4 linked regions of the Arabidopsis thaliana genome follow. The protein of the gene in region 4 interacts with the protein of the main gene of each other region in a pairwise test. Each region holds a gene or a part of one and is shown on either strand. Other genes may lie near its edges. The genes, in order: NARA5, NFD6, AT3G42630 and HSP23.6-MITO.

What was found.
Region 1: the proteins of HSP23.6-MITO (region 4) and NARA5 interact in a two-hybrid assay, tested with the Arabidopsis thaliana proteins (one large-scale study listed by BioGRID).
Region 2: the proteins of HSP23.6-MITO (region 4) and NFD6 interact in a two-hybrid assay, tested with the Arabidopsis thaliana proteins (one large-scale study listed by BioGRID).
Region 3: the proteins of HSP23.6-MITO (region 4) and AT3G42630 interact in a two-hybrid assay, tested with the Arabidopsis thaliana proteins (one large-scale study listed by BioGRID).

Annotation. Positions count from the first base shown.
Region 1 is NC_003075.7:13,780,150-13,789,148, forward strand, and holds NARA5 (pfkB-like carbohydrate kinase family protein), read right to left. Parts: upstream 4,986-8,999; 5' UTR 4,857-4,985; coding exon 4,467-4,856; intron 4,322-4,466; coding exon 4,059-4,321; intron 3,841-4,058; coding exon 3,723-3,840; intron 3,464-3,722; coding exon 3,255-3,463; intron 3,040-3,254; coding exon 2,604-3,039; 3' UTR 2,064-2,603; downstream 1-2,063. Other genes in the region: AT4G27610 (intracellular protein transporter), read right to left, coding at 5,499-6,214, 6,808-6,912, 7,000-7,183; AT4G27620 (intracellular protein transporter), read right to left, coding at 8,910-8,999.
Region 2 is NC_003071.7:8,861,104-8,868,829, reverse strand, and holds NFD6 (nuclear fusion defective 6), read right to left. Parts: upstream 3,733-7,726; 5' UTR 3,609-3,732; coding exon 3,448-3,608; intron 3,173-3,447; coding exon 3,022-3,172; 3' UTR 2,738-3,021; coding exon of another isoform or gene 2,733-2,737; 3' UTR 2,483-2,732; coding exon of another isoform or gene 2,463-2,482; 3' UTR 2,257-2,462; coding exon of another isoform or gene 2,237-2,256; 3' UTR 2,055-2,236; downstream 1-2,054. Other genes in the region: AT2G20590 (Reticulon family protein), read left to right, coding at 1-126, 207-351, 427-501, 588-729, 816-885, 973-1,038, 1,170-1,292, 1,376-1,587; RPN1A (26S proteasome regulatory subunit S2 1A), read right to left, coding at 4,131-4,203, 4,296-4,474, 4,577-4,685, 4,776-4,861, 4,954-5,067, 5,157-5,216, 5,317-5,532, 5,612-5,725 and 7 more.
Region 3 is NC_003074.8:14,718,109-14,725,842, forward strand, and holds AT3G42630 (Pentatricopeptide repeat (PPR) superfamily protein), read left to right. Parts: upstream 1-4,141; 5' UTR 4,142-4,205; coding exon 4,206-4,295; intron 4,296-4,369; coding exon 4,370-5,527; 3' UTR 5,528-5,811; downstream 5,812-7,734. Other genes in the region: AT3G42628 (phosphoenolpyruvate carboxylase-related / PEP carboxylase-like protein), read right to left, coding at 2,627-2,764; HA8 (H[+]-ATPase 8), read left to right, coding at 6,201-6,251, 6,337-6,693, 6,773-7,087, 7,168-7,614, 7,696-7,734.
Region 4 is NC_003075.7:12,913,783-12,921,037, reverse strand, and holds HSP23.6-MITO (mitochondrion-localized small heat shock protein 23.6), read right to left. Parts: upstream 4,113-7,255; 5' UTR 3,950-4,112; coding exon 3,751-3,949; intron 3,614-3,750; coding exon 3,180-3,613; 3' UTR 2,928-3,179; downstream 1-2,927. Other genes in the region: AT4G25210 (DNA-binding storekeeper protein-related transcriptional regulator), read right to left, coding at 1,486-2,592; QWRF7 (QWRF motif protein (DUF566)), read left to right, coding at 5,037-5,729, 5,807-6,043, 6,135-6,224, 6,326-6,436, 6,582-6,638; AT4G25180 (RNA polymerase III RPC4), read left to right, coding at 7,131-7,157.

The sequences.
Region 1 (8,999 bases), 870 kb from region 4:
TACAGAAAAAATCAATAAGATATTGATAGTGGCTGGTGTACTTGATCCTCGTCGCAAAATGGTATTTACAATGTTCAGTTTTGAACTTATCTATGGAAAAGGTAATCCAAAATGCGTTGAAATGAAGGAACTCGTGATGGATGTTTTGGAGAAACTATTTGACATATATAGTGTTCGATATGCCACTTCAAATCTACAACCTTCTGTTTCCTGTGACGCTGAGAACGTAACCCAAGTACACCAAGACTTTGAGAATATGGAGGTTGACAACATTGATGATCCTTTTCTAAAATTTATGGTTGCTAAGAAGACTTCTGTAGCAGTGGTAAATGAATTGGTAAAGTATTTAAAAGACGAACTGCATGTAACTACTGAAAATAGTTTGGGGCTCCCGTTTGATCTTCTAGATTGGTGGAAGACAAATAGCTCAAAATACCCAATCATGTCTTTAATGGCTAGAGAGGTTCTTGCAATACCAGTATCTTCGGTTGCGTCGGAGTCTGCTTTTAGCACGGGTGATCGTATCCTAGATCAATATAGAAGTTGTTTGACTCCTGATATGGTTGAAGCGTTGGTTTTGACTCAAGATTGGTTACGTGCTTCACTTCGTTCAGAAGCAATGAAGTCTCTTGATAAGCTAGAGGAAGAGAACAAGTTTATGGATTCACTTGAAGAAGGTATTTTACTTTATTTCTTTATAATAATTATATGTGACAATCACTTATAGATTTACTCTCTGTTCATGTTAGTGTCTAATTTTTATTTTATTTTGTTAGAGTTTAATCCTCCATCTCAGAATGAGAAGTGAGAGCGATAGGTACATGTCTAAGTAAACGATTAGTGGGAGCAGAAAAAGATTAAAGAGGTAATGATCTTTCCTTTCTATATATTAGTTTTACGATGTTGGTGCTATCTGTTGTTGAAAAGTTTAAAATTGTTAATTTATGTTTTTTTCTTTCTGTTCTTAATAGTTTATACTCTGTTTTGGTTTCCAATATTCTAGTTAATACTCTGTTTCAGTGTAAGAAGTGATTGGTTTTATTGTTTTCGTTTCGTCTTTATATAGTTATAAACTTATATGCAAGTTATTGACTTGTTGCAGATTCTTCTTGATGACATTGGGTGAAGGAATCATGGAAGATTGTTATGTTACGTTGTTGGATTTCTTGCATTTTCCTTTCTTTTAAATTCTAAGTACTAGGCATTTGATAATTTTGATTTGAACTTGTTACGTTAATTGATTTTTTGAACCAGATTAAAACCGAACTGAATTAAAACCGATCCAAACCGAACTGAACCGACCTAGAACTAACCCAAACACAAACCAAACCAAACTAACTTCGGTTGACTATGGTTAGAGTTTTACAAAACCCAAATAAACCGAACCGAACCGAACCCAAACCGAACCCGAAATTAAACCGAAATGCCCAGGCCTCACTTTGTGTTTTGTCTCTTTTGCATCTATATCGATACAATTAAATAATAACACAATTATGGTAAGCAGCACAATGAATGGAGTTGAGTAACAATCAAACTAAATCAAAGTCCTAGTACTACCACCTACATTTATGATTTGTCCTTAATCATTCTAGTTTAGAACTTAATTAGATCGCACGTCAAATTGTTGTTCGTTGATCTTTTATTCGTATACTTGTTCGTCTCCTAGTCGTAGGTGAGATTTTTCTTTCCATGTAATCAAATTGTTGATGCTTGGTTTGCTCGTAATATAAAAAAAATTGCTGAAGCCTGGAAATGATATAATTTTCTTGGTAAAGGTACTCTCGCGAATGAACCTTATTGTTATTAATATCGTTTATGGAATTGGATCCAAATTAATCGCTTGAGAAACCTGAGCAGTAAAAGTTGAAGCTAATTTACACTTTTTAAGATTTTGATTCTTAACCACGATAAATTGGGCCCATAAATGAAATAATGGGCTAACAGAGAATCAGAAACAGAGGCCCATTTTAATATAAGAGATAACATCATATTAGTCCCACATCGCTTATACAGTAAAACGAAACAGAGTTTATATAGAGTTAGAGTCGAAGTAGTGCTTGTCCCTTCGGGGACATCCGATAAAATTGGAACGATACAGAGAAGATTAGCATGGCCCCTGCGCAAGGATGACACGCATAAATCGAGAAATGGTCCAAATTTTTTTTGTAAAATTTTCCAGATCAATAATTTACATGAAGCAGAACTCTTTCTTGTTTCAGAGCTTTCGGAGAGCTACTCTAAGCCTCTGCATGTTCGAAATTTCTTGGCCTACCCTCTGTTAATAACTTCACCAGTGCGAATCATATAGAAACTGGACAAGATTCTGTCTTACAAAATGTCTGAGTTTTGTTATAACACTGTCAATGCTAAACATGCTTATGGGATTTCAATTTTGCATTTCACAAAAACTTAATAATAGTTTCTGCAAGAATATTCTATGAGACCATCAAATCAAAAACAAAAAATGTCTCAAACTTTGTCGGAAACATATACTATATACTAAAATGTTACATACAAGATTACAAGTCAATTGCAAAAGGCACTACTACATGAAGACAAAGAATGAATCAAAAAGCTAAAAATCACAAGCTAAAGAGGTTTCATCAAGACCCAACATCTGTTCGAACACCAGAACCATTGAGACGGAAGGCATGTGATCGAGCCAGCTCAACCGCGTCCTGAACCCTAAGCCTGGTTCCTTGTTGACCCACCACAGTTGCTGCAATCGTTGCAGCCATATCTCCCATTCCTTTCAAGTCAGAGACACCCCTCAAGATACCGTATAAGATCCCTGAAGCATATGCATCTCCAGCACCACATGTATCAACTGGCACGCATGGGGACGGAGGAATGTAGATGGCCTCTCCTTTTACTCCAATATATGACCCGTTGATTCCATCGGTAACAGAAACAAACGGAACAAAGTGGCTCATGTATCTTGTCGCTGAAATTGGACTTTCCTCTGCGGAAAAGTGACAAAACGCTCTTGCTTCATCGCTATTTGCAAATACAATATCCGCATAGTTCCCCACAATGTCCCTGAATCAACAGAAAACCATCAGCATTTATCTAGGTTCAAGTTTCGTTTTTTCGAGAGACATTCACAGCTTGAAGCATCAAAGCTTCTATGACTTATCAAGCTACAGAAGATAATCACTCTCTTCGTATTATTTCCAACTGTTCCTATCCGATGGAACTGACCCAAAATCAAATAGACGCAAGAATGTATTCAAGTAAAGGGAGAAGAAACTGACCAGAAATCATCATAATGCCTCTCTATGCAGGACACATCTGATGCTGTCACAGCAACAAGTGCCCCGTTTCTGTGGGCTTCTTCGCAGGCTTTTGTTATGGTTCTTATAGTATCAGGAAGCTCAAACAAATAGCCTTCCACAACAAAGACATTTGTCTTGGCTATCAAACTAGCCAAACAAGAATCATAATTAACGACAGAGGATGTTCCCTGAAATTATACATAACATTAGGTTTGTTATTTAGTGGGATCAATAAAACTGAAAAACTTATCAGAGTTAACAATGCTACTACTATCTCAATGTGGTTGCTTTATGGAAGCAAATCGATCCTACCACTACAATGATCTTGCACGTCATCTACTTCAAAAGTTAAACTTTGCTCGACTCTTGTGGAAGAAGAAAGGGAAACCCTTACATTTTGAATAGTAATACATTGCAAGAGCAATTTGCTGAGATCAGAAATCCTACCTGATATGCAAGCATAGTACGTTGTGCATCAGGAGTTGTGAGAACTATCACTGTTCCTGTTGTTCCGTCCTTGATTGGAGCAGAAAGAAAATTTACATTTGCTCGTCGTAGTTTAGTCCTATAGAAACAAAAAAAAAAAAACTTGTGAGTATACCAAACCAAATGTAATGATAGGCTAGTTTGACGCCTTACAAACTACTCTTGTATAGTAACGATTCTCTACATAATTCCATACTCCAATTCTTAAGAGGGGAATAAAAAGTAGACTATGTCTAACTACATACACAATTAGCCAAAAAAAAAGAGAAGGGCCATATAAGTAAGACAGTTTAGTACCCGTAAAAGCTACCGAGAGGGTCACCTCCAATACTGCCAGCCATTGCCACATTCAAAGGCCGGTCACAGATGGATTGAGAACCTAATCTTGCGAGAGCAACTAAAGTGTTGGACAATGAGCCTCCAGCTGCCGCCTTATAGCTACAACCATCCATTGCTTGTAATAATTTACCCCTCTCCTCGTGATTAATCAGTTTCCTTGTTCCCTTTTCTAAACCAAGTTTCTTTAGAAACTCATCATCCACAACTCCAGAGAAATCTACCTAAAACATAAAACACATCATCAATAACCAAGTAAGTATTTTTAGGATCCAGATTCACATATTTCAACCATTTGGTGGCTTCAAGGATAAGAAGAAGCTAGAAGCTAGAAGCTAGAATGATTTATTATAGGAAACAAAAACTCACCATGGCTTGGCCGAGACCCAAAACATCCCATCTCTCAGGCGAAGCAGCAGAGGAATTATTAGCATGGACTTGTATGAATTCATCGTCGTCTTCGTCTTCATTTCCAATCCTCTGGATTTCACCTTCATCCATATCATCCAATTCAGCACCGGCTCCGCCACCAATCCTACAAACCAATTGCCTATTCTCCGCCATGGAAACAATCCTCAAGTTCCCAGAAGCTCCGAAAAACGAGGTCGCGGTTCTGGTTCGTAAGGTTCCTTTGGGGTGATATAAAGAGTAAAGACGGGAGAGAGAGGAGGAGGAAGCATTATTAGAAGCGGTAATGGCGGAGAGAGTGAAAAAAAGAGAGGCAGAGGTAGGAATTGGAGAGAGGAGGGAGAACGCCATGGAATTAGATAGTTTTGCTCTTTGAATGAAGAAAGCTCACATCTCCATTCAAAAGCGAGAGGAGCAAGGAAGACCAGCAAAACCCGAGAGACGGCCTCTGAGAGGATAAAGTATGACTTTGACTTTATATGTTTATTTATATAAATCTTATTAGGATAAAACTCTATTTCTTATTTATATTCAAACCCAAAATTTCAGAATAAGCATAATTGCTAACAATTTTATTTTAACTGTATCTTAAAAATAATAATGTATGTTGCGTCTATTTATAAATTTAAAATTTGTTTATACTATTTATCATTTGTGTTAAAATTGGCTAATTCTTCTAGTGAACACATCCTTATACGTGGCGTTTGTAATTATCGGGTTAGTTACCAATTACGGAGAATAAAAAAAAAAAAAAAGTAGAGAGCTATTCCCGCGGTAAATTCTTCAACAACTATCTATTTACCTTTACACCAAATGTTGAAAGAAAAAACAGAATCAAGACATTCAAAAACGAAAGCAGAAAGCCAGAAAGAACCTGAAAATCTTGATCTCCACCGTTCTTAGTACATACTAAGATTCATTTTCTCGAAAAAGGAAAAAGAACCGAAAAAAAAAATAAGAGACGCAAGTATGCACAATGCCTAACCTTTCCACCTACAATAAGTTTTGGAGCTGTGAGTCCAGTCTCTGCTGCAACTCTTTTACCTTCTGCGAAAGCTCAATCTTCTGCTCCTTATAGCTTCTAAGTAGATACTCTTTCCCATCTATCACTTCTTTAAGCTCACTCACTTCCTTTCTCAACATCTCTACTCTTTCTCCATCCCTTAGGCTCTTTTCTTGTGACTCATAATTGCTTTCGCTGTCCATAAACCCGCCATTCCAAGGTCCAACCGGAGATGTCTTGCCATTGCTGTCCGCGCCACATCCCACGCTGTGATCAGCAATTGCCTTTCTCAGTCTTTGAACTTCTCTTTCTGATTCAAACAGATCTCTGTTCAGTGTGTCTAGCTGTGCCTGGAGATGGCTTGAGTGTGCCGTCTGTGCGTTATACGAGTTTTGCAGCTCTAGAATCTGTTCTTGCATTTCCTGTATCATGTCATCCCGTCTCTTCAGCTGCTGCCTTAGTTTCTGTATTACTTCTCGTTTGCTGAAAATGTCTGAGCTGGTTTCAGATACGCAAGGAGAATCTGAGCAGTTTGAATTGTGATTGTATGGTCTTGGGGGAAGTTCCAGGCGATCAGGAGAAGTTGCCCACATGACTCCATTCTCTTTGCTCGATGGAGCAGGAACTGTCACAAGAGGCAGTGAAGTGTCAGATGCGGATATCATTTGCTCGCTTGTCACCTCTTTTCCTTCCACACTCTCAGTTCCTATAAAAATAAAGAAGCAAAGGCTGATAAGATCCATACACGACTGTTTGCTCTGGACTACATGAATATTAGGATTCAGAGATTTTCCAAAGAGAAAACATAACTCAGGTCTGGATCTAATAGTACAAAACTTGTAACTATGCTTAACGAGGTCTTGGTAGATAACAAAACTAGTAACTGTTTTTAGCATTCAGCCACTAGACACAGCCATCAATGGAGAAAACCTGCTTCCCTAGTTGCCAGCCCAATTGATGCAAATTAATGGTAATATGCCACAACGAAACAAGAGATATTCGATTCAACCAGTTATTGCAAGGTGGCAAATCTTGTAACTATTTTACTCATTCCATAACTTCGAATTGGATTCCCCTAGTTGACAAATACATCATGAGGTAAGATAACAGAGGCTAGAACTCTATAACAACATCTACACATTCTCCCAACTAGATTTTACTATATATCACACATCGTTTTAACTTCATGAAAGGAAACCCAGTAAGACATGATGCGAGACCAAGAAACAAGCATATAGCGTTTGTTTAGTAGATTGAACAAATATGTATGAGGCAAAACAGAAAGTTACAAAGTCACACCTGGAATGGAGCGGAAGCAACAAAAATCATTATTTTGTGTACAGGAAGATGTGGTAGAGTGTAAGCAACAGCTTGTAGATTTTTGCCTCTCAGATGTTCCATTAGCTGCACAAGAGGCTTTCATTTAGTGATAGAAAAAAACTAGAACCAAATTATAAAACATGTTAAGCAACACAGCGATAAAGTAAGTACGTTTTAATCCAGCAGAGCCATTTGATTGAGGTTTCGAATCAAGCGACTGCTTTAGCTTGTATCCAAAGCGAATGGACAATGTGCTCAACAATGCACCCCCTGCAATTAGTATCCAGTTTGGCCCTTCACCACAAAATTTATCACCTCGCTGATGCTTGGAAATGCCATTTCTTCGTGTACTCATTGTATGAGAAAGTCAAAATGTATCTATCATCCAAACATAACCTACATTGAACGGATACAAGAATCAATCATCATCAACGATCAGAATGAATTGGGCATATGTCAACAAGAAACCTGGTGTCAACTCAATAAAATCAACAAATATACAATTTTAAAATCATCAAATGCTTAATACCCAGAAAGATTCCAGAAACTAGAATATGAAAAGATAATGAGCACAAAGAATCACGTTTTGAGCATTACCTCAAACACAGTCAACCAGAGAAGGAAAAACAAAAAAAAGATCTAAAATGATAGTAACACTGAAAAGAGAAAGACAAAAAAAAAAATGGAAGATTCTCTAAGTCAAACATTCTCAGTTGAGAAAGTATACGACGAATCCATGGAATCATATAGGAGCACAGACTCTACCTCAAAAAAAGCAAATGCAAGAAAAATGGAGTTCCCTGAAAGAGTAATCGAAACGTTGATGCCATGGGATTTAGATTCTAAAACTACAAAAGCAAGAAGAAGAGATAGATACTTGCCTTGAACATGAAGCGAAATGAAAATAATAACAACCCTTATTTTTTTCGATAGGGGCCGTTAATCGATATCCCAACAACCCTTAATGAACACAACAATCGCAATCAGAAGGAGAATAAGGAATTACATAAATCCGAGCTCGAAAATAGATTTTCCGACGAATCAAAAATCAGTGAGCGAGCGAAGCACCCAAAAACAGGGAGAGTATAAAGGACTCTTTAAAAAACCTCATAGACAGCAGAAAATGGGCATTAGGGCTCCATAGTTTCCCTCCCGAGCCAGAAAATTTCTCCCGCTTGAGTTTCAATGTTTGATGGGTGGTCCTTGCAGCTTCGAGAATCGAAAAAAATCGCTGAGAGAGAAATACGATTCCGTGAAGAATCGCAGAGTCTCCGACGATGATATGACTGTAAAACCCCCGGGGAGGAGAGAGAGAAGCAAAGTGGAGGGGAAGAGGTTGAAGAGAGACGGCGCCTCACAGTTACAGCTCCGTTGTTGTTTTTTCCTTCCACTGTTAATTCATTTATTAAAATAAAATCACGCACGCGTCAACCACGTCCCATGGATGACGCTCACGGTGGTTAACAAACTCAGCTCATATGTTTTTTTCTTCTTTCTTTTCTTCTTTACGATTTCAATTTTTTAGTAATGAAATTTAATAGATAATTTGAGTATGAATGAACATTTGACATCTTTATCCATGTGTAAATGTTTGCACTTTCTGTTGATTATTTTTTTTTTTCTATTTTAAGTCACTACCAGCTAATGTGATGATACATTTTTCTTTTGTCTTCTTCACTATGTGACAACTACAAAATTAAATATTTGGTCCTTCCTTCTCTAACGATTTTCTTCCTTATGAATATCAAAACCTGACTGAAATAAGTGCCAAATTAAATTTTAGCAACCCTTCTTTCTCTTTCCTTAAGAACAAGTAACCAACTTTCTTGTAAAAAACTTCAACTGCAATTCTACAATTTAAGCCTTGAGACACGATATTGTATGAGTTTGCAACTTTCGAATATCCACTTCACCAAGAGAAAAAAACAATTTGGATAAAATCATAATTGACACCCAAAACAATGTAGTCAGTTGATAAGTTTCCCCGGAGAAATTGAGATATTTTTGAACAAAGATTCATATTTTTTACTCGGGGAAACAAAAGAGAGTGGTAAGAATGCACAATGCCTAACCTTCTTCACCTACAAAATGTTTGGGAGCTGCGAGTCCAGTCTCTGCTGCAACTCTTTTACCTTCTGCAAAAGCTCTGTTTTCTGCTCCTTATAGCTCCT
Region 2 (7,726 bases), on a different chromosome or scaffold from region 4:
AAGAAGCTAATTTGGTTATCGAAGAAATCGTAAAGCTTCCTCCTAGAAAGCGGAAGACTAATGGTCGACCTAAGAAGGATAAGCAAAGTTCAGCTCCTCCTCTTTGTTCTTCCTCAGATCTTCCAAGTACTCTTCTTTCTCTTATTATCTGCTTTATGTGTTTCTCTGCTTAATTCTGATTTGCTTGTGTGTTGGGTTTGGTGAAGATACATGTCAGAGCGATTTGAATCTGATTGGAGAGATTATAAGTGATTTGGTAATGTGGAGAGATGTTGCGAAATCGACTCTCTGGTTTGGTTTTGGATGTTTGTCTTTCCTATCTTCTTGCTTTGCCAAAGGAGTCAACTTTAGGTACCAAATATCTAGCTTGTGTTTGTAGGCTCAATTAGATTTGTGAAAGTCATGACCTTTTTCTTTGTTTTGAAGCGTTTTCTCGGCGGTTTCCAATCTCGGACTTGTGTTACTTTGCGGGTCCTTCTTGTCAAACACTCTTTGTCAAAGGTACATTTACTTCTGTGGTCTCTTTTGTTTGGCATTCTCCATAAGCTAATAGTTAGTGTGATCCTTCAATGTGTTGTTACTTTTAGGAAAAATGAAGACACAAAGAGAGCGTTCCATGTGAGTGAAGATGATGTCTTGCGCTCAGCTAGACGAGTGCTTCCTGCAACCAACTTTTTTATCTCGAAGACTAGTGAGCTTTTTTCAGGAGAACCATCAATGACACTCAAAGTAAACAAAATCAAATCAGTTTTGGTGATTGCTATGTGTTGGTGGTTTACTTGCCCTTTCATCTGCTGATTTTCTTTTTGTCACAGGTGACACCATTTCTGCTACTTGGAGCTGAGTATGGTCATCTCATAACACTGTGGAGGCTATCTGCATTTGGTAATTAACATTTGGAACATAAGCTGAAACATTGTTAAGCATGATAGGAATTGTGATGATGATATGTGTGTATGGTTACTGAAACAGGTTTCTTCCTCAGTTTCACCATCCCAAAGCTGTATTCATGTTACACGCATCAGATTAGCCAAAAAGGTGAAGAATAATGAATTGCACCCATTCACATATTGTCAATTGTGTTAGAATCAATAGTCAAGTGTTTGTAGATGTCTTTAACTGGTCCAATGGTTTAAATTCTTGAACTGGTTTGAGTTTCATTTGTGCAGTTGAAAGAGTGAAAACGAGAATAGGTGAAGCATGGGGAGTCTGCTCACACAAGAAGATCTTGGCTGGCTCTGCGGTGACAGCGTTTTGGAACTTGACGAGCATAAGAACCCGAATATTTGCAGGTAATTTACCTAACCAATGGTTGACAGAGTATTTGGTTTGCCTTGTATCAAAATATAACGTATACGTCTTTCATGTTCTGCAGTTTTTATCATCCTGGTGATATTTCGGTATAGGAGACAAAATCTACAGCTAACTCCCGAGGAAGTTGAGCCTGTTGAGAATGAGCAAGAAGAAGAAACACTCCCGCAGGAAGAAGAAACAGTTCCACAAGAAGAAGAAACAGTTCCACAAGAAGAAGAACAGACACAGCCATCAGAAGAGCGAGCTTTAGTGGTGGTGGTTGCAGAAACTTAAGGATCAAAGAAACTGTAGTGTTTGTACTTTGTATCAATCCACATTCAACAGAGATGTAATTCTATATCTCGAAAGGATCTGTTTTTTTAATATGAAAAATTAATGACAAAGAGATCCTTTAACAAAGCTGCCCATTCAAGTCGTGAATCTTTGGCAGAGAATACAATGTTTCATAAGATCCAAGGGACAAGAAGAAGAAACTTGAAACCTTCTTTCAAGTTTAAGGGTCGACAAGTTAATGTGCCAATTTGATTGCCAAATCTGCTACTTTTTCCCTACTTATTTTGATGAGATTCTTGATTATATATATATATATATATATATATATATATATATATATATATATATATATATATATATATATATATATATTTGGTAGAATCTTGATTATAATTTATAGTATTCAAACTCATGGATGTTTCCAAGTTTTAAATTAGTAGAAGTGATGCAATTTTGTTGAGTTTGTATGTTGATGTAATAGAAATCATAGAGATTTGATTCAAAAGATATTGGACATTTGTCTTTGATATGAAAACTAAAGACAAAGAGATGATTTGTGTTTGAACAGTACAACAATTATTCTTTGCCTAAATACTCTTAAACCTTCTCTCGCAATCAACAATCTCGCATTGGGTACGCGTAGACATCATCAAAAGTCCTCTTTGCAAGCTGATAAATTATACCAAACATCAGTTACTCGTCCAACCAATACAACATGTCTTACTTAATAGGCTGAAAACAAAGAAAAGCTCTCCAAGAAACTCAGAAACAAAATTAAGAGGGTTTTCGTTCCTAAGTTTTTCTAAAGAAGAAGGCTTTAAAAGGTAGAGGTTTTGTACATAAACTGTAGCTTCATTGTTCCTCTGGCTAACTCATCACACATCATCATTGCAAGCTGGGAGTATAAGACCAATCAGTAATAACTCAAATGCTATAACCAACAAGAAAAGAAGACACGTTTCCGGGTACATGTATTTTTTTTAAGAAGATATGTAAGAACCAGTTCTTTTAAAACACAATGCAGCATCAACCATTGCTTGATGTGTATCTAAAGCCTATCTTATTGCCTGAAACCCGTTCTAATCGTTTATATTATTTGCATGAAAACCCAGATCTTGGCTTCGTTGTCTCCATCTACACTTGTGTCAGCCTACAAGATCGAAAAACTAGACCAATTGAGCCGCTATCTCTTTACAACGTTAAGCAGAAAGACAACAACAACTGATCCAGTTTTTCGCCATAGCAACAACCAAAAAGAATCTACACTGATCGAGAAAGCTTCTTAAATGGCAAAATCTAAACTAGTTCTCTACCTATGTCTAATACAACAATCTAGAAAGCCAATACAGAAACAGCTCTCAAACACATTTCATCAATCAAACAAAGCATATCTCCACTCAATATTTAGTACATATTTAAGCCATTATTCAAGCATTACAAAATTGAAGGATGTGAGAAAGTACCGTCAGAGAGCCAGCCATAGGTTTGGCCAGAGATAGAAAGCTTTGAAGTCATTAGCGCTGAAGCTGTAGCCGAGTGATATGGTAACAATGACTCCACACAGAAGCTCAGTTCCACAGGATTTCTATTCACATCAAAAACAAACAAAAATGCAAATTCTTTTAAGTAATGTGATAAGAGAGTTTCACATTTAAAATCAACATCAAAATGCAAAATTTCATCTTTTTTACTTGTGAATAATCGATCTGGAAACATGATTAACGCAAAAATGTAATTTTTACATAGAGAAGTTCCTTCTTTTTTTTCACAATTCGATCGAATTTAACCCATTTCAAGCTTCAAGTAGCACAAAACTGTGAAATGAGCTCAAATAAGGAAATGGGTATGAGAGAGACTAACCGGAGAGGAGAAAGCAGTGGGCTTCTTCTGGCAGTGGCTCTAAACAATGGTGGAGCGGATTTCGCTTGAGAGGCGAAGCGGCCAGTAGAAGCAGCGGCGCTGCGTGAGGAAGCAGCTCGAAGCATCGATCTGGCACCGGAGAGGACGGCGGACGTGGCCATCAGGAGAGAGAATTGAAGAGAAGATCAAAAACTACGGCTGCGAGAGAGAAGAAGAGAGAATGCTGAAGCCTGAACTCCGATTACGATTACGGGAAATGATGATAAACCCTATAAACGCGATCTTAGTTTGGACGAAACCTTAGTCTTTTGTTATAAACGCGATCGCAACACTTTTGGGCCAAAGGAAAGCCCAATTTCATTTGTGCGTCTTTGAACGGCACTATGCAAGTGGCTAACATTTCTTCACTTTTTTTATGTGATCAAAGTAATTGGAAAATTTTATGGATCGTTATTTTTTAAACTGAGTCAATATTGGTTTTGGCAAGAATATGTGTCGACTTGGTGGCGATTAAAAAAAAAAAAAAAAAAAAGAGACTAAAGTTTATATAACTAAAAGCGTCAGGTCATACAAAGATCCCAAGATAATGAAACAAAGCTTAAACGGAGAGTAGAAAAACCATGAGATAATAGACGAAATAGTAAAACTAGTGACAACTGGCTGGAAGCAGAAGCTCTCTCTCTTCACTCCTCTCTGTAGTCTGGGTTCTCCTTTAAGATGATGAATCCTTCTAGTATTGGCGACAGAGGAATGTATCTGTTTGCCAGTTACAAATCCGAGTTTTATAATCAGACACCTAAGTAGGCAACATAAAGGGTACAAGGAAGAAAGGAAAAAGAATAACATACTTGTCCGTGGCTAGTTCGGCTCTCTCTCCAGCAGCCAGGAGAACAGGTGTGGAGTGTGTCTGGAAACCGGTTATGGTCTTGGGCCGACCCGCTTGCCCAACCACATCAACTGCTTGTCCTACCCGCACTGGCACTGACAGTGGCTTCAGGTTTTCATCCACTGTCAACATCATCCTTGGCTATACATTTTTTTAACAAAATTTGATTAAATATCAAATCATAGCAAGTTCATCAGACCTAACTAACAAGAGGGAGAAACACAGGACAGAAGTTGAACTCACTTGCATCGCCAAAACGAGGAAGTACAGCACATAATGGTACTTCCCGAGTATGATTGGTTTCATGTCAAGGCATGCATGCAAAAGTGTCACTATACCAGCAAGTGCGGTTCTGCATAAATAAGGTCCGCATGAGAAACCTTTGAACATCCAACTATCAAAAAAGATTTGGTTCTATTGGTGACAAAAAGAATGAACTTACGGCGATAGCAAGAACCGTTCAGAGTGGAAGGGGCTGAGTGTCAAGAGACCCTTTCCCATGTGCACAAGCCCTTGAGCAATACGCACCTGCATAATGACTTACCAAGTTAGTTACAATAATTCCAACAAGAACAACAGCTTACCGCAGGGTACAGAAACCAAAATGAGGAACACATTACACAGAAGAGAAGACTCATGTCTTTGTAATAATAGCTGGAGAGGTTCCGAAGCATCCCGGCTATCCTTGCGTTATTAGTTCCAGCGCCAATCAGTCCCAATGATATAATTGCTGACTGTACGAGTCAAAAGAAAGATCAGTCCTCTCTCAATACTATTCAGCTAAATAATATGGGACAGGCTATGAAGCGAAATGATTGCTAACCATGGCAACTTCCGAATCTGTGTCATGGCTAAGCCGGCTCAAGGTGTCCATTACAGTCACCTGGAATTGTGGGAAAAATATTAAAAACCCAGTATTACTCTAGACGCCCACTAATAATTGTAAGCAGGTGCAGTAAAACTACATTTACAAAAGTATTTACCTTTGGATTGGATATACAAAGGAGACCAAGGGCCAAAGGCACAGCACGCCGAATGTTTTGTTCTCCGTATTGTAGCATCCGCTCCAGAGAACGGATCTCCATATCAACTCCCAGTTCTTCAGACATAGCAACCATTGCTAACCCAAGCACAGCTGGACCCTGGTGGATGTCACCTTTCTCAAGATGCTCGCCACACTGAGCAAGAAGGTCTTGTACCTGAAAATATAAGTAGGAGTCAACAACTAAACAAGTAATGAATTATGTCACTCAACCACCAGCACAATTGATTAGATACCTTTAGGACATTTCCAGTTCCAGCATAAGCACAAGAAAGAAGTGTCATATCACAATACTTTCTAATCTTCTCATTGAAGGTCTTCGAAACTTCAGCTGTAGCCTCTACACTTTCCTGGTAGATATTGGAACAAGTTGATGTTGGTCAAGCAATGCAAATAATGATATACGAACAAAGAGCGAGATTATGTAAAACACATTGCTAACCTGTTTGCCCAGGTATAGAAGTCCAAGACCAAGTGGCAAGAAACGAGTGAGGGCATCACCCAGTTCTGCCTCACTTCGATCCATCAAAGCAAATATAATAGACTGGGCTACTTCTTCGTTACAGGAACCAACATATATCATTCCCAAAGAAAGTGAAGCAAATGCAATCACATCAAGAGGCGCTTTTGCATCATTCAGTATCGGGGACAATTTGTTTCGAATCTGTTGAAACAGTGTACGTGTTAAAGTTTTGTGAACACCCGAAACATTCAAGTAGTAATATGGGAAAGAATATAACAAGTACCTGGTCATTTTGGGAACCTGCGTATGAAATTCCAAGACCCATGATAGCACCGATTCTGACAGATGAATCCTCTTTGTCTATATAGTCTCCAAGAAGTGCCAATGCCTGAGAAATAAGGCTGAGTAAGATGGAAGAGTGGCTGCAAATATTAGCACAAATGGTCCCAGCAAAATCAAACACGACAGCAACTCACAGGATCACAATCGTTCTTAATGCCACAATTTACAATCCCAACTCCCAGCAGTGCTCCAGCAATGATAGGATTATCATTACTATGGAAATATTTGTCGAGTTGGGAAAGTCCAGAGTCCACATCCCACAGTTGAATCATACCCTATATGATAGGGAAACAAAAAGATCTGGTTACAATTCTTACTTCCATGATCTGAGCACAGTAAATAAATTCATCAAATAAGAAAAAGTATACCAGACTAGCAGCTGCACTAGTCTTGCCATGTTCTTTATTTTTGAAGAGCCAGTTTCCAGAAGATCCGGTGGTTGAGTCTGAAGGTACTGTCATTAGTTTGTCCTGCGATAAGCAAATATATTAAGAGGACACGTCTTCCACTAGATCTATTTTATTATAATCTGCAACCATACCTGACCAAAACCAGCATTTACGAATGCATTGACAAAGGTAGCAGCCAAATTCTGTCTAGCAGAATCCACGCTTGCACCGGAGCTAGCCCTGCCGTCGAGTAAGTGAGCCTATAAAATTCAAAAAGGGCAGGTCAAAGACTGAGGGAAACATAATTTGTAACTAAATAAATGAGTAGCAAGCCTAACACATTAAAACTGATTTACCTTGTAGATGTCTTCAGGCGTTTTGGCCTCCATGACCTCAATATCCCTTGCAAGGGTCAGATATCCTTCACTTAACTTAGTGTTGTTAACAATATCCTGTAGGGCTTCCCGGTCATCATCATCTGCAACCATCTCATCGTCAAGTTCAAAGGTTATACCCTGCAGGGAGGCATACGACGAGAGGAGAAGTATAAGAAAGTATGTCAATCGGGTATTGTGTCTCTAAATGAATGGAAATTTTAAACAGCGATGCAGCAGTTAATCTGTGTGTGCCTTAGAAGAGAATAGGAGGAGGCCAGTGTCGCTAAAGAATGAGGTCTTCCCAGAAAAACAATACAAAATTGGACTAAAAATAATGTTCAAGAAACATATTTAAATTCCCTCTAGATCATGCTGAATTACAACTACAAACTATGTTCTCATTTTTTTTCTGCTAACTTTATGTAACAGCTGGAAAGTAAAATACAATCGAATAAAAGCACAACCAACTATCAAAGCATATAGGAGTAAAGATCCAAATCAAAACATACATACCGAAAAGAAAGAATGAGATAGAATTGTAGTAAAGTAGAGATAGTTAGGACTTACATGACGAGCAATCATGTAGCAGAACTGTTTCTTCTTCAGCAGATCCGTACATGAGGTAAATACTTGTTTAACATACTGCAATACAGAAAATACACCATACAGCACATTAAATATCAAAAATGTCTACGCAAATACTCGAAATAAAACATAGAGGATTGATTTTTCCAAATGCTTCACACGCAGAAAGAATGAAATGAAACTACGTTCTATAGA
Region 3 (7,734 bases), on a different chromosome or scaffold from region 4:
TGCTCGCATGGGATTCTTAACATCGTGTACCTAAGACAAGTACACATACACTCGTCTAGTACAACGTGATAATGCTCACCACTCTTTGAAGTAACTTGATAACTCCATGGCCCAAACATCATGACTGCGAACTTTCCTGACTTAGGCAAGTCTTGGAGGAAACGTTCATCTACCTCCGACGTCACCAAAGAGTTACACTTCGACACTTTTTTCCCCCTCGCTGCAAACAATCGCATAATGACCTCTCGGATGAACTGTATCATATAGACAATTGGATACGCATTTGCCTTCCTTAAGACATTGTTCATTGCCTTCGAGTTGTTGCTAGTCATGATATTGTACCGCTCCCCTTTGTAGTATGTCCTTGTCCAATGCTCAAATCCAACATTCTCTAAATACTTTCTGCATCCCGGACTCCGACCTCCTAACTCTTCAAAGTATTTTTCAAAATCTCTAACCCGATATGCTTTAGCGGCGCTAAAGAATAAACAAGACACACCGTACCTAGCGTAAGACACTGATATGTTTCGCTCCAGGTTACTATACATACTCCATGATGAGCTTTCGAATACACCACACTGACGCCTTTATATATGGAAGAATGCATGTCCGAGACAATCATCAAATCGTCAGTATCTGGAACAATCTTTGATAAATTGTCAAAGAACCAAATCCATGAAGCATCGGTCTCGCCGTCGACAACACCAAAAGCTAATGAAAATTTGAAAGTTCTCGTCTTGTGCACATGCTATGAGGAAGCATCCTTTGTAACGACCGACTAGCTGCGTTCCGTCTACAATAACAACTTTCTTCATATATTTCCAACCTTTTATAGACGTCGAGAGAGAAACGAATCCATACTTGAAGCGCTGGCGACCATTAGATTCAGGAGTGGAGTGGAGATGACAGATTGTACCGGGATTTGCTAAACGTAGAAGATACAGATATATAGGTAAAAACCTGTAACTAGCCATATCATCACCCCTTACAGAGTTTACTACAACCTCTCTAGCTCTCCATGCTGTAGAATATGAGATCCAAACATTAAGATCATTTAAGACCAATTGAGGTAAATCTACTGCTCTTAGACCCCCTTGCCTAGAACTATATCTATTCTTCATTACCTTGCCTAAAAGTTTGTAAGTAGCATGTTTACGATAATCCTTTCGACTCCCGATCTTGCAAACATGGATAGAATCATAACCTGTGATTTTGAAACATTTTGAATTGGGTATGACATGTGCAGTCAACTGCCATGGACAATTACGATCTACGCAAACCATCTATAATCTTTTAGGGCATGAGCGAGTTTGTTTGTAGCGGAAGCACCTTTTGATTGCAAAAAGTCGCATAGTCTACTGTATGACGTGCCTGTTTTTGAAAACACTTCCCACATACAAAGGATGACCTGACGTACTCAATTCAACTTCTGTCTCATCGACTCGAACATTGGCTAAATCATCGAATACTGGAGCAGCATCAGTATCGAGTAACTCATTCTCACCATTGTGCAATGTAGAAAACCCTTTATACACTTCGTAGGCTTCACCTGTTGTTACTAGACGGTGGTCAGATTCAATATTTAACCCACTTGCAGAAGCCCCTCTTAGGCATTCTATACCCTCATCTCCAGTTATGTTCTCAGCTATATCATCCACATTTGCAGCCATGTACTTAACTAATTCACCTTCGCATCTTGTCTCCTCTGCACAGACTCTAATGTACGTACATTGGTACAAACCATGTTGACACGTCGGGGATGGAGCAGAGATTGGTGTACTGTCAACCAAAACAGCAGTGGGTTCTACATGATGTACATGTTTACCTGTCGACGTACACAATGCCAATAGACGAGTGAATTCCCCTGGGGTTCCACGGTTTGTTGAGTGTCATTCACGACGTCCTCCTCAACATGACCAATTCCATAGTCTTCCACAATCAGATCACCCTATTTATTGTAATCGTAATCTTCGCCACTACCTTCACTACCGTCGATTGTAGGGTCGAGGGTACTTCCATATATTCGCCAAACATTTGATCTGCATCCACATCCTCCTCTTCATTATCCTCATCCTCATCACCTTCATCTCTTCCATCCTCATATACATTTATATCTTCGTCAAACTTATGAGCTGCATCAACATTTGCAACCTCTGTCTCTGTAAAGCTTCCCTTGCCGATAGAGTAGAAAGACACAAACAAGTTAATAGAAGGATCGCCATTACGAATCAACATAAATGTATCCAGGCTGATTTGATTCTCAATATATACTGGAGGGCGATTACTTCCTATCATATCAGACATATTTCCAAGCATCCAATAATTTATTATAGGCTTGCATTCACTAATCTTCAGCACCGTTAAACAAGTTGGATTTGTTTTTTGCCCAAATTTTTTATCTCAATTATGTAAATATCTTATAATATAATCTCTATTATAATAGGTAATCACTGAAAAGGATTCAACTTTATGGATAATATAAGCAGAAACAACAAACCTGCATGATGATTCACTAAAGGGTAACCCTAAATGTAACTAAAAGTTCAAATTTTTATCACAAACCCAGTTTTTAAGAAAGAAGAAAGAGTGAACATACGAATTCTCTGACATCCTCGCCATGCAAACCCTAAAGAATATCGAGAAATCGATCCAGTAACAGAGCATCGTACTCGATAAGCTTGTCGTCTTTAGAAACCTTGCCAGGAGCAAGAAGCCTGAGCTGAGCATCAATAGAAGCCATCTTCTCCAAATTTCTTGCAGCCATGGTTTGGTTGATGCTTTTTGCTCTCTCTGGTGAAAAGCTCTTTTGGTTAAGTGAGAGAGATTCTCAATAATTTTATAGATTGATACAATCGGAGACAATCAAGGAAATATATCCGATAAAGCTGAAACTAAAAAAATGTGTAAATCAAGAAAGATTAGTGAGATACCTCGGTTTGATTCGAAGTTCGTTTGCAATTCTACAATCCCCAAAATTTATGATTGTACCTCAGAAACAAAAAAGAGGTGCTAATCAAAATCAAGAAAATTCTCACACATATAAAAACCAAATAGCTACGAAAACCAAAACATGTAACCGAACAAACTGTAAACCTTGGGTAAACAACTCATCACCAATTGGCAAAGATCTATGAGATCTTACTTTCCAAGTGACCATAACATAAAAAGGAGTCGGAAAAATCGATGAAGATGCATCATAAAAAGGACCGAGATTGAAATACAAAAAAAAACTATAAACTATATTGCTATTGCTATGCACTAAAATCAAGCTACGATGTTTGTGTTTGAGAGGAGGGATCCTATATTTATAGGTATTTTCAGCATAAGGTTTTAGGGTTTTACATATGACAGCGTAAATTATACGGGCCTAATATCTTTGTTTGAAAAGCATAAGCCCGTTAGGGTTGTTAGGCGACTTATGATTGATTAGGTTTGATTAGGATTAATAGGCGATTTAGGTTTGATTAGGGGCGCCAGAGAATAGGAAATTTAGGGTTGAGAGTGAATTAAACCTTTTTTTTTTCTACACATTAAAATATAAAAACAAAATAATAAGTTATCTCATTAGTTAGTAAAAATATTAATTTATCCTTAAAAACCTTAAGAGAGGGAGGGCAAATCCATCAGTTCATTTTCTGAGAGCGAACATGAAAGTTTTTGACATCTGCTTTAATATATAAGATTCTCCACCGCTTATGTTTGGGCCGCTACGAATTCAAGATGTTCTGATTCGAATGATTGAGTGATTATGAAATTTTTTACAAAAATGATCGATAGGTATTGTGTTGTTATGGGTTTTAAGAAATATTTAAATACTTTTTTAGAGACGGTATGCTTGACCTTTTGTAATATTATGGTCGAATTTTCAAATCTCATAACTATATTCTATCATTGAAATTTAAATTTTTTTTTAAATACTCTAGTTGGTATTAAATAACATTCCTTAGTTTTGCCTCGTTTGAGCTCTAATTATTAATCGGATGACAAAAAAAATAGTTAATATTAAATAGTGAAATCTTTTATAAAAAGAAAAGAAAACATTTATTTACTAGTGGGGATAATGTTTCTAAAGCCCAATAAAGGCCCAAACGTTCTCTGAAATAACACCCTAATTATAGCTTCTGAGGCCCAAATCTCTCTCTCTCCCCTCCGGAAATCTCCTCGATTCCTCCGTCACCACCGTACCGTAACCGAGACTGGTCGCAATGTTGTCGCTCAATCTATCTTTGAAACCCCAACATCTCAAGCTCTTATCTTGTTACACGGATTCGTCTGCTCCTTCAATCGCGAAAAAGGTACCTACACACTTGCTTCTGTTTCTTAGTTCACTTCATATCTTGAATTTTAGGTATCTCTCTACTTTGTACAGTTGATCAAGGAATCAAAGCTATCTAGGGACTTCAGTCAAAAGATACAAATCGTAGACTACGCTCCATTAGTTCAAACTTTAAGCCAGAGAAGATTACCTGATGTAGCTCATGAGATTTTTCTCCAAACGAAATCAGTTAACTTGTTACCAAATTACAGAACCCTTTGTGCTCTTATGCTTTGTTTTGCTGAAAATGGGTTTGTTCTTCGAGCACGTACGATTTGGGATGAGATTATAAACAGTTGTTTTGTACCTGATGTCTTTGTAGTCTCTAAGCTTATATCTGCTTATGAGCAATTTGGTTGTTTTGATGAAGTTGCCAAGATCACCAAGGATGTTGCTGCAAGGCACTCGAAGCTTCTTCCGGTTGTGTCTTCACTTGCTATATCCTGTTTTGGTAAGAATGGACAGTTGGAACTGATGGAGGGTGTTATAGAGGAAATGGATTCAAAGGGAGTGTTGTTAGAGGCTGAGACTGCTAATGTGATTGTTAGATACTATAGTTTTTTCGGTAGTTTAGATAAGATGGAGAAGGCTTATGGCCGGGTTAAGAAGTTTGGTATTGTGATAGAGGAAGAAGAGATAAGAGCTGTGGTGTTAGCGTACTTGAAACAACGGAAGTTTTATCGGTTACGCGAGTTTTTGTCAGATGTTGGTCTCGGTAGAAGAAATCTTGGAAATATGTTATGGAATTCTGTATTACTGTCATATGCAGCTGATTTTAAGATGAAAAGCTTGCAGAGAGAGTTTATTGGAATGCTTGATGCGGGTTTCTCTCCTGACCTTACCACCTTTAACATTCGCGCTCTTGCGTTTTCTAGAATGGCTCTCTTCTGGGATCTACATCTCACTCTTGAACATATGAGACGTTTGAACATTGTTCCGGATCTTGTGACTTTCGGATGTGTTGTCGATGCATATATGGATAAGCGACTAGCGAGAAATTTGGAGTTTGTATACAACCGAATGAATCTGGACGATTCTCCTCTTGTCTTAACTGATCCACTTGCATTTGAAGTTCTGGGGAAAGGGGATTTCCATCTTAGCTCGGAAGCTGTTTTGGAGTTCAGTCCACGGAAAAACTGGACGTATAGAAAGCTAATTGGAGTTTATCTCAAGAAAAAGTTGCGGAGAGACCAGATTTTCTGGAATTACTAGCTACATGCCACATCTTTGCTGCAAAGACCGTCACTCTTTGCTCACTATCACAATCCCCCTGATAAACTTTTCCGATGCTTGAAATGAAACATTGAGGTTAGAGAGTCTTCTTGCTACTAGATTTACATATAAATCATACATGCCTGTATTTACAATGTTTTATTGTTAAATAGATATGTATATTGAATTACATACATATTATTAATGCACATTTTTATCCGGAGTTGTGGACCATAGAAAGACATATTGACTCCTCAAAGTAAATTCTGCATGTTACATTGAAATCATAGGCTAAATTTGAGATGCACTATTTTTAGAAAGTGTAGAGAAAAGGACAGGAAGAAATAAGCGAAAGCTTTGGTAAGCCACCAAACCTGATTACTGGAAGAAAAGAAAAAAGTTCCGAGAATAGAGTTAGATCGCTGGTGAGGGTTTTAAATGGAACACAACAATGGTTGTTTTAGAGTGTGTTATTCTTTTGTATTTATACCTTCTCATAGGTTTCTTGTAATACACGCTTCTTCCTCTCTCTCCCTCTCTCTTATGGCCTCGTCTTGAAAGCGTCTTGCATGCTAAGAGAAGGCTTTAGAGCAAGGAGAGAAGGGAGAAGTTGATTTATACGTCCATCGGATATATCTTCTTTTTATATCTGTCTCTCTTTTAAGGAAGAAAAATGGCGACTGAATTCTCGTGGGATGAAATCAAGAAAGAAAATGTGGACCTTGTAAGATTTTTACAGAGTTTAATTCGTTCTCGAGATCTTGAACTGTTGAAAATCTGTAATAATTTTTGAATGATTTATATTATAGGAGCGGATCCCTGTGGAAGAAGTGTTTGAGCAGCTGAAATGCTCAAAAGAAGGTTTGTCCAGCGATGAAGGTGCTAAAAGGCTTGAAATATTTGGGGCAAACAAGCTTGAAGAGAAATCAGAGAACAAGTTTTTGAAATTCTTGGGGTTCATGTGGAATCCTCTCTCATGGGTTATGGAGTCTGCTGCAATCATGGCTATTGTTTTAGCTAATGGAGGAGGAAAGGCGCCGGATTGGCAAGATTTTATCGGTATTATGGTGTTGCTTATCATCAACTCCACCATAAGTTTCATCGAGGAGAACAATGCTGGCAATGCCGCTGCTGCTCTCATGGCAAATCTTGCACCAAAGACTAAGGTATGCAAATTTCTCAATACATATATATAGGTATGTATTTTCTAAAAAGGAGAGTTATATAACCTATGTGTGAATGTAGGTGTTGAGAGATGGTAAATGGGGGGAGCAAGAGGCTTCAATCTTGGTTCCGGGTGATTTGATAAGCATCAAATTGGGTGACATTGTTCCTGCTGATGCTCGTCTCCTCGAAGGAGATCCTTTAAAAATTGACCAATCTGCTCTTACTGGTGAATCCCTTCCAACCACCAAACACCCAGGAGATGAAGTATTCTCTGGCTCAACCTGCAAGCAAGGTGAGATTGAGGCTGTTGTCATTGCCACGGGTGTCCACACCTTTTTTGGCAAGGCTGCTCATCTTGTTGACAGTACCAACAATGTTGGCCATTTCCAAAAGGTATTTTAGAAATGAACAACATCTGAGTACTGTAACTCTTGGTCTACCTAGGGTCTCACGGCTGGGTTTTTATTTTCCAGGTTTTGACATCAATTGGTAACTTCTGTATATGCTCAATTGGATTGGGGATGTTGATTGAGATATTGATTATGTACCCTATCCAACACCGCACATACAGAGATGGTATTGATAATCTATTGGTGCTTTTGATCGGAGGAATCCCAATCGCCATGCCAACAGTTTTGTCTGTAACAATGGCTATTGGATCACATAGACTCTCTCAACAAGGTGCCATCACCAAGAGGATGACTGCAATTGAAGAAATGGCTGGAATGGATGTTCTCTGCAGTGATAAGACTGGAACTCTAACCCTTAACAAGCTCTCTGTCGACAAGTCCTTAATTGAAGTGTTCCCAAAGAACATGGATAGTGACTCAGTTGTATTGATGGCTGCAAGAGCTTCCAGGATTGAAAACCAAGATGCCATTGATGCTTCCATCGTCGGAATGTTGGGTGATCCTAAAGAGGTACGTACTTCATATTTGTGAAACTTGGATTCATTTTGTTTACTGTCCTTATGTTGCAATTGTTTTTGATGAAATAAATAGGCAAGAGCAGGAATCACAGAGGTGCATTTCTTGCCCTTT
Region 4 (7,255 bases):
ATAAAACTAAAGGAGAATGTAGAATGAACCTGGAATTTGGATCACTTTTGAAATTTTAAAAGAGGAGAAAGTTATCTCTCTCTCCCTCTCCGTTCTTCAACTACAATGGTGAGAAGCTAGGAGGGATTAAAATCACTACTTAAAGAAGGTGAAACTGGCTCTTTTATAAATCATTTGGCCCCTTTGCTGTATTTCTTTATTGACCAAGCCATTTGCTTCACTGGCCTCCAGTTTTCTAGATTTTTTTTTTTTATCAAATGTACGCAAATTAGAAACAAATCAAACCAAAGAAGACGATATCAGATTAGTCGTATCCTTCAACACAGATGTTGAACTACTTTAATAATAGTTTATGTGAAGTAGCAAAGTCGGCGTCCGATCTATCGTTTGTGCCCGCACGTAAGAACAGCAAACCTCTGACTCTAACTCGTTTCTTCATCCAAAAATTGAACTCGTTAATTGTTTAATTTATCTACAAAACTACAAACATTCTTTGGAATGATACTTCATTTTAGTGTCCGAATTCATTTGTCTAGTTTATAGGAAGATGTCAACAAATAAATTTGTAAAGATATTGAGCATATTAAAATGCTTAGTTTTTGACTTTTGTTTAGAAATCAGTTATTATACAATGGTAATTTTATACTGTACAACTTGTGTGGGTTATCTTTATGTTCTCCTTGTCCCAGATACAGTCTCGAATCTGCAAGAATTTTTCCTTTTAGGATGTGACAACAACTCGTGAAGTTTATTTGTAAAAATATTTTTGCGAAATTTAGTGACTTGAAAGACCATTTTTCTGCTTGTTTGAGAGGTGATCATGATCTCATGTTTGGTGATAGCTTACCTTTAGTTTAATGTTTGATTGAACATACTCCCTGCTCTTCTTGTAACATATTCAAGATAAGGAGAGCTCTGACCTTATTATACAGTCATGCCTCAAGTATTAGTACGTTGCTTTTTTCATGTTCGACTGGAGATCAAAGCTCACAGAACACTGGAACAGGATGTGAAAAAAATGCGACAAAAAACGCTGTCATCTCTCCACGACAGGGAGAGCGGTAGAAACTCGATCTACATGATTCTGCAGAACATTAACTCGGTGCAGGTATCATTCTAGTATCTTATCAATATGCAAATTGCAAACACATATGAGTTTGCCTCTTAACTGTGCAGACCGGTACCAGCTGAACTTCACAAGGAATGCATATGATAACACACATTGACTAGTCGTTTCACAGCTTAAGTCGTTTCACAGCTTTTAACATAAAAGAACTAATAGGGCTATTCCATCTTCTGTCTAATATCATAGAAACCGAACAAGAGTAATAAATAAAAGGGTCATATACCCAAACCAAACATCCAACATAGGGGCATAAAGAAAATACGAAAAAAGACTTACATAAGGATTAGTTTCACAAGCTAAAATGCACAATACAAAAAAGACTCAAAGATGCATACTAAAAAAGTAAAAAGACAAACCGCTCAAGATTCATAGGCTTTGAATATCATCTTTGCAGTTTCATTCACGAGTCCAGACCTCTGCAAACATAGCTCAAACTGCTTAGCCTTAAGCTTCTTCCATTTCTCCTCCACTTCTCTCTTCTCAGCTCCATCCGCAACCTTTGCCCAAACCGCAGTTAATGTGGATTCATCCAAACCACAAGAACTCCCATTATCTGCATTGAGGAACGATGCAATCTCTTTACCAATGGAGAGACCTGTGTTCACAACCTTTGCCTCTGTTCTTTCCGGTTTCTTCGCTTCTTCTTGTTGTTTCTTGGGAGTAGAGTGAGCTACTAACTTCATCTCTTTCGGTGCAGGTGTTCCTCCAACTTTCTTCCTTGATGATTTACCAGTAACCAAAACACCATTGCTTCCCCAAATCTTTCTGGACAATTCAAAACCTTTTTGCTCAAGATCTTTAGCAAACTCAATATCATCTTCAGTCTTTCCCTTCTTAAGAGAATTCTTCACAGCATTATTAAACTTCTTCTTCAACCTCTGAAGTTTAGTAACAATTTGGTTTTTGGTAGCATCGAAATCGATCAGTTTCTTCACATAAATGCAAAAAGCATCAATATCCTCATAAGGATCTCCTTTGGTAGATGTGAAATCAATAATACCTTGAAGCAAAGCGATTTCATCCGTCTCACTGAACAATCTCTGAAACATCTTCTTAGCATCCTCTGAAGAAATCTTCTTAACCTCATCATTAGTTATCGGCTTCTTCACATGCTCAGTGTCCGATGTCTTCTGCTTCTTAATAGCTTCAGGAGCAGCTTCCTTCAAAGGACGCTTAGCCGTTGAACTCTCAGGTACAGTCGCGGCAGATCCAGACGTCTCTGGAATTGGTTTAGTCCCAACAGGCTTCAGCTTGATCGTCTTAGCAGGCTCGGACTCGGGCTCGGGCCCAGAACTGGACTCCGATTCAGATTCGCCTTCAGAGTCAGATTCAGGCTTTTGCGAAGACTCGACTTTCTTCGGAACTTCAGCAGAAGATTCAGATTCTTCTCCAGATGAGCCAGATTCTTCTTCTTCACTGGAAACAGGAGGGCTTTCGACCACTTCCTCCGCCTTCTTCGGTGCCATCGAACAAACAGTTACGAGAGAGAGAGGAGACAGAGATCTGCGGTTCTATTTTCCCGTCGCCGTCGATTTGCTTTGCTCTTAGGTTTAGGTTAATGTCGAGGTTCTGTTTTTTGTTTTTTGCCCTACTTTTGTTTTTTTAATAAAAGTCGATCGATTCATTCAAGTTGGGCTGTCCAACGCGCTATTCTACTCGAACGGGCCTAACACTTTTACGCGTTATTAATAGACCAGTCCGTCGACAACTTACGCAGCCTCAGAATTCGTCTTAAAGTCTTCCTAGTTCCTAGTCTACAGAAAATTTTAAACCCAAATACGTTCCATAAGCTCCAGTCTCATAACCACAAAGGCATGTAAACCGACCGAGTTAGCTAAAAGAATACACGATTAGGAACTTATTTAATTAGTGCTTTGATTTGGAATGCAAATTTTGGTTTAAGCAAGACAAAAAACCACCGTCTCAAGAAAGAAACATATAACCTTTTAGTCTTTAGAGACTACATGACTCAACATCGACCGTGCCAAACTACACACACTTCTTATTCAAAGACCTATCAACAAAACTAGAACAGAAAAAAACGTCGACGTTTTTAGTTGATCTCGATCTGACGAACATCATTTCTCTCTTGTTCTTTCATCTTCGGGATCACAACTTTCAACACTCCGTTCTTCATCTCCGCCTTAATCTCATCGATCTTGTAAATCTTATCCGGTAATCCAATCCTGCTTGTGAATCTCCGATTACCGCTCTCTCCTTCCTCGCCACCATCTTCCTCGTTTTTTCCTTCTCCTCTAATCACCAGAGTGTCCTGCTCCAAAGCCAGCTTCACATCCTCTCTGCTCAGCCCAGGCATGTCGATTCTCAGGTACAGAGCATCGTCTTTCTCTTTTATATCCCAACCACGACGAGCTCCTGAAGCTCCCATGCCACGAGTAGCTGATAACAGAGGATTCTCCATGAACTGGTCCATCAGATTCAGCACTTGACTAACGCTCCTCGTCGGCGAAAACGGATCAAACACATCTACACAAAGACACAATCAATCATGTCAAGATTTTGAGCTCAGTGTAAGCTAATACCTGTTTTCTTACTAGATTTTCGCTACGTTAACAACAGAGAGACATAGATCTGGAGGAAAAGCGAAACAATTGGTTTGTTACCTGAGAAGAAATCACCACGGCGGCGAGGAACAGAGCGGCGATATAAATCAACGCCGTCTCCATTTTCGCCGTCGTCGTCGTAGCTCCTAACGGCGTTGGTGTTGAAGAGGCGAGAGGAAACAGCTGGACGAAGAACACTACGGGAACGTGGAGCGATGGAGGATGATAGGAGTCTCTTAAGAGCGAGAGCAGATGCCATTTGTAGAGAAACAGGAAGCTTTGTTGAGAAAGTTTTAACAGTGAGTTTAGTATTTATCTGAGAACTGTGTGCGACGAAACTGGAGACAGGGGAGGACTATATACAGGAGTTAAGTGTTGAAGGTGGGATATTGTCAGTGAGTGAATGTTCTGGAGAAGTGGGGAGATTGATATTTCTCTGGATGTTTCTAGAGATCCGTGGCTCCCAAGCTAAGTGAAACAAATATAAATTGTCTTGTTTATTAACGGGCTACGGCCCATCGGTATTAGGCCTGTTTTAGTAGATTTATGGTCAACAAGTCAAATGACCCTAGAACATGGTACATGAATGAAAAGGACCAAAATGTGGACAGAAATCAACCAAAGGCCGAGGCGGCCACCAACCACCGAACGTGGGAAGGTCTGGTTCGGGCAAACATTCGAAAAGACCAAGAAGACTCGGATAAACAATTAAAAAAATCAGATATTGGAGAAGGCAAATATATATTGGTGTTGAGGTCAAGACTTAGAGTTTTGACGTTATTTAAAAAAAAATATTTTTGGGTAAAGACTAAAGAGTTTGACGCTATCTTGAGGTTTATTTATTCAACGTAGACTATATACTATGGGGCCGTTCTGAATTGGACCTTTTAAGTTTTGATTTTATTAAAACGCCATGTTGTTTAGTCGAGAGATAAACAAAAGACGTGTCTCTAGCTAAGCTGACCTTCATATATGCTTTGACATAATACATTAATTATAATCTCTCTTTTTGGTGTGTGTAAAAAATACACTCTATATTTTATTATGTAGACACACTACATGCAGAAGTGTTCTTACCTCTGCCTCTACGTGCTGTCAACTCCTACAGATCTTCAAGTACCCCAACCGTTATCTAACAGATTAAATATAATATACCCCTAACTATATTATATATCACAATTGTTCAAACCAGTGTATATAGACTAGACGATTCCTTGAACCATATAATTCCAGCTTTACTATAAGAGTCTTAAGGACAGGGGCAAGTGAGTCGAGAAACGAAACCGAATATAAGTCTTGTATGATATAGTCATATAGTTAACCGTCGTCATATATTAAAGAAGAAAATGGCAACCACCGGTCGGAGACTCCGTCCTCCATCGCCCAATAATAACCGGAGCCGGACTATAAGCTCTTCAATCTCTCTCCCAGTGTCCTTAAACGCCTCGTTATCGTCTTCTACTTCTTCATCTTCTTCCTCTTCGCCTTCCAATTCAAGCAAACGAGTGATGATAACCAGATCACAGTCCACAACAAGATCCTCCAGACCCATCGGATCATCCGACTCTAAATCCGGCGAGAACATAATCCCGGCGAGAAACAGCGCATCAAGATCTCAAGAGATAAACAACGGTAGAAGCAGAGAGTCGTTTGCTCGGTACTTGGAGCAACGTACGCGTGGTAGTCCTCGTAGTAACGCTTCATCGAGAGGGGTAAAGCCGGGAGCCAGCTCACCATCGGCGTGGGCGTTGTCTCCTGGAAGACTTTCGACTATGAAGACGCCTCTGTCCAGCTCAGCTCCGACGACTTCAATGTGCATGACGCCGCCTGAGTCACCCGTAAGCAAGGCCAAGATAAGAAGCGGTGGCGGTGGAGCGGTGGCAGGAGTTTTGAAGTACTTCATGGCGCAGAAGAAAGTATCTCCGGTACAAGAGGAGGATTATCACCGGTTTAGGATTTTTCAAAACAGATTACTTCAATGGAGGTTTGTTAACGCAAGAACTGAAGCCACTATGGCAAACCTTAAGATCAACGTTGAGGTACAAAAACTATATGAAAAATATTTAAATTTGTATCTTATAAATATCTATTAATTTGTTTCTGTGAATGGTTTCAGGATCAGTTGTTTTGGGTTTGGCTTAGGATATACAAAATGAGGAACTACGTTGTAGAAAATTTGATTGAAATTCAAAGGCTCCGTCAAGATATCAAAGTACGTGAAGTTCTCAGCCTCCAAATGCCTTTACTTAATGAGTGGTCAAAAATAGACGCAAAAAACTCCGAAGCGTTGAGCAAGCTAACTCGAAAACTCCATGCTTTGTCTGTCCGATTACCCCTCGTACATGGTGCCACGGTTAGAATTTCTCTCTTTGGGAAACCAATTTGTTTATAAACATTTTGTGTATTTGTCAAGAAAGCAGAAACTAATAATTTGGAAGTTACAGATAGATATGGTGTCGATACATGAAGAAATGGTCATAGCTATAGAAGTCATGGACGAGATCGAAGACGTCATCATCAAGTTTCTCCCACGAGTAAGTCCACTTTATCTATACAGATCATTTTCCTAACTTTTTTTGTATAGATACATGTAAAAGAAATTAATTTAAGAATGTCTTGGGTGATTAAATATCAGCAGGTTGAAATAATCCTCTATGAGCTGACAGAATTGATCGGCATGTTCAATCAAGAATTGTTATATTTTGAAGAAATGGACGAGAGCCTTTTATCCATTCCTCTCTTCACGGTAATTCATTATCTCCTAATTTCATTATATATATGTGACCGGTCCGGTAGTTTTATCTATAACTTGAATGGTTTGTTTTTTATTGGTTCAATTTGGATGTGGAAGCTCCATAGGCTAAAATGGTGAGATAATTTTCTTTTAACAGGCAAAGGAGAGTAGCTTGAGGGTCCATATTCTCCAAAAGACTGAAGAACAGAGATAATGTTTCTCTAATAACTCAAACGTTAGGACATGTAATTAAAATGTTAATCACATTGCACATTTTGCAAACTGGATTGTTGTTGATGCCAGAACTCGCTATCTAATTCAAGACGCAGTCTTCTACTTCTAGATATATACGATTGAAGCCATGTGTTAATGTGTATTACAAATTTCGTTATGCAATTTCTACATACACCTTAATGAAAATATACTTATACAAAAAATTAGACATGAAATCTAAAAATGTCTATCCAATCACATATACACACGTAGAAGTGTTTACTTCTCACAAAGAATGTATAAAAATAATAATTGTAATTTCCAAAGCTATAAATATAAAGATTGACTTAACTTACTAAAAGCGCTATTAAGTCATTTGGTTATCCAGCTATTCAGTACTACAGAGGTCTCGGGTTCGAAGCCATCTTTTTCCTAAATCCCCAATTTTTTTTTTTTCCCTCGTTTCCGAATCTTTTACCGGCGAGACTCTGCCATGGATTCAGGCGAACAAAAGTCTAAGGTAAACCTCTACTGATTCTATCTTCTTGTTCTCCTTCCTAATTTCATCTCAAATCTCGAAAAATTTGCCGCGAAAATTGCGTTTCACTGACCTTACTC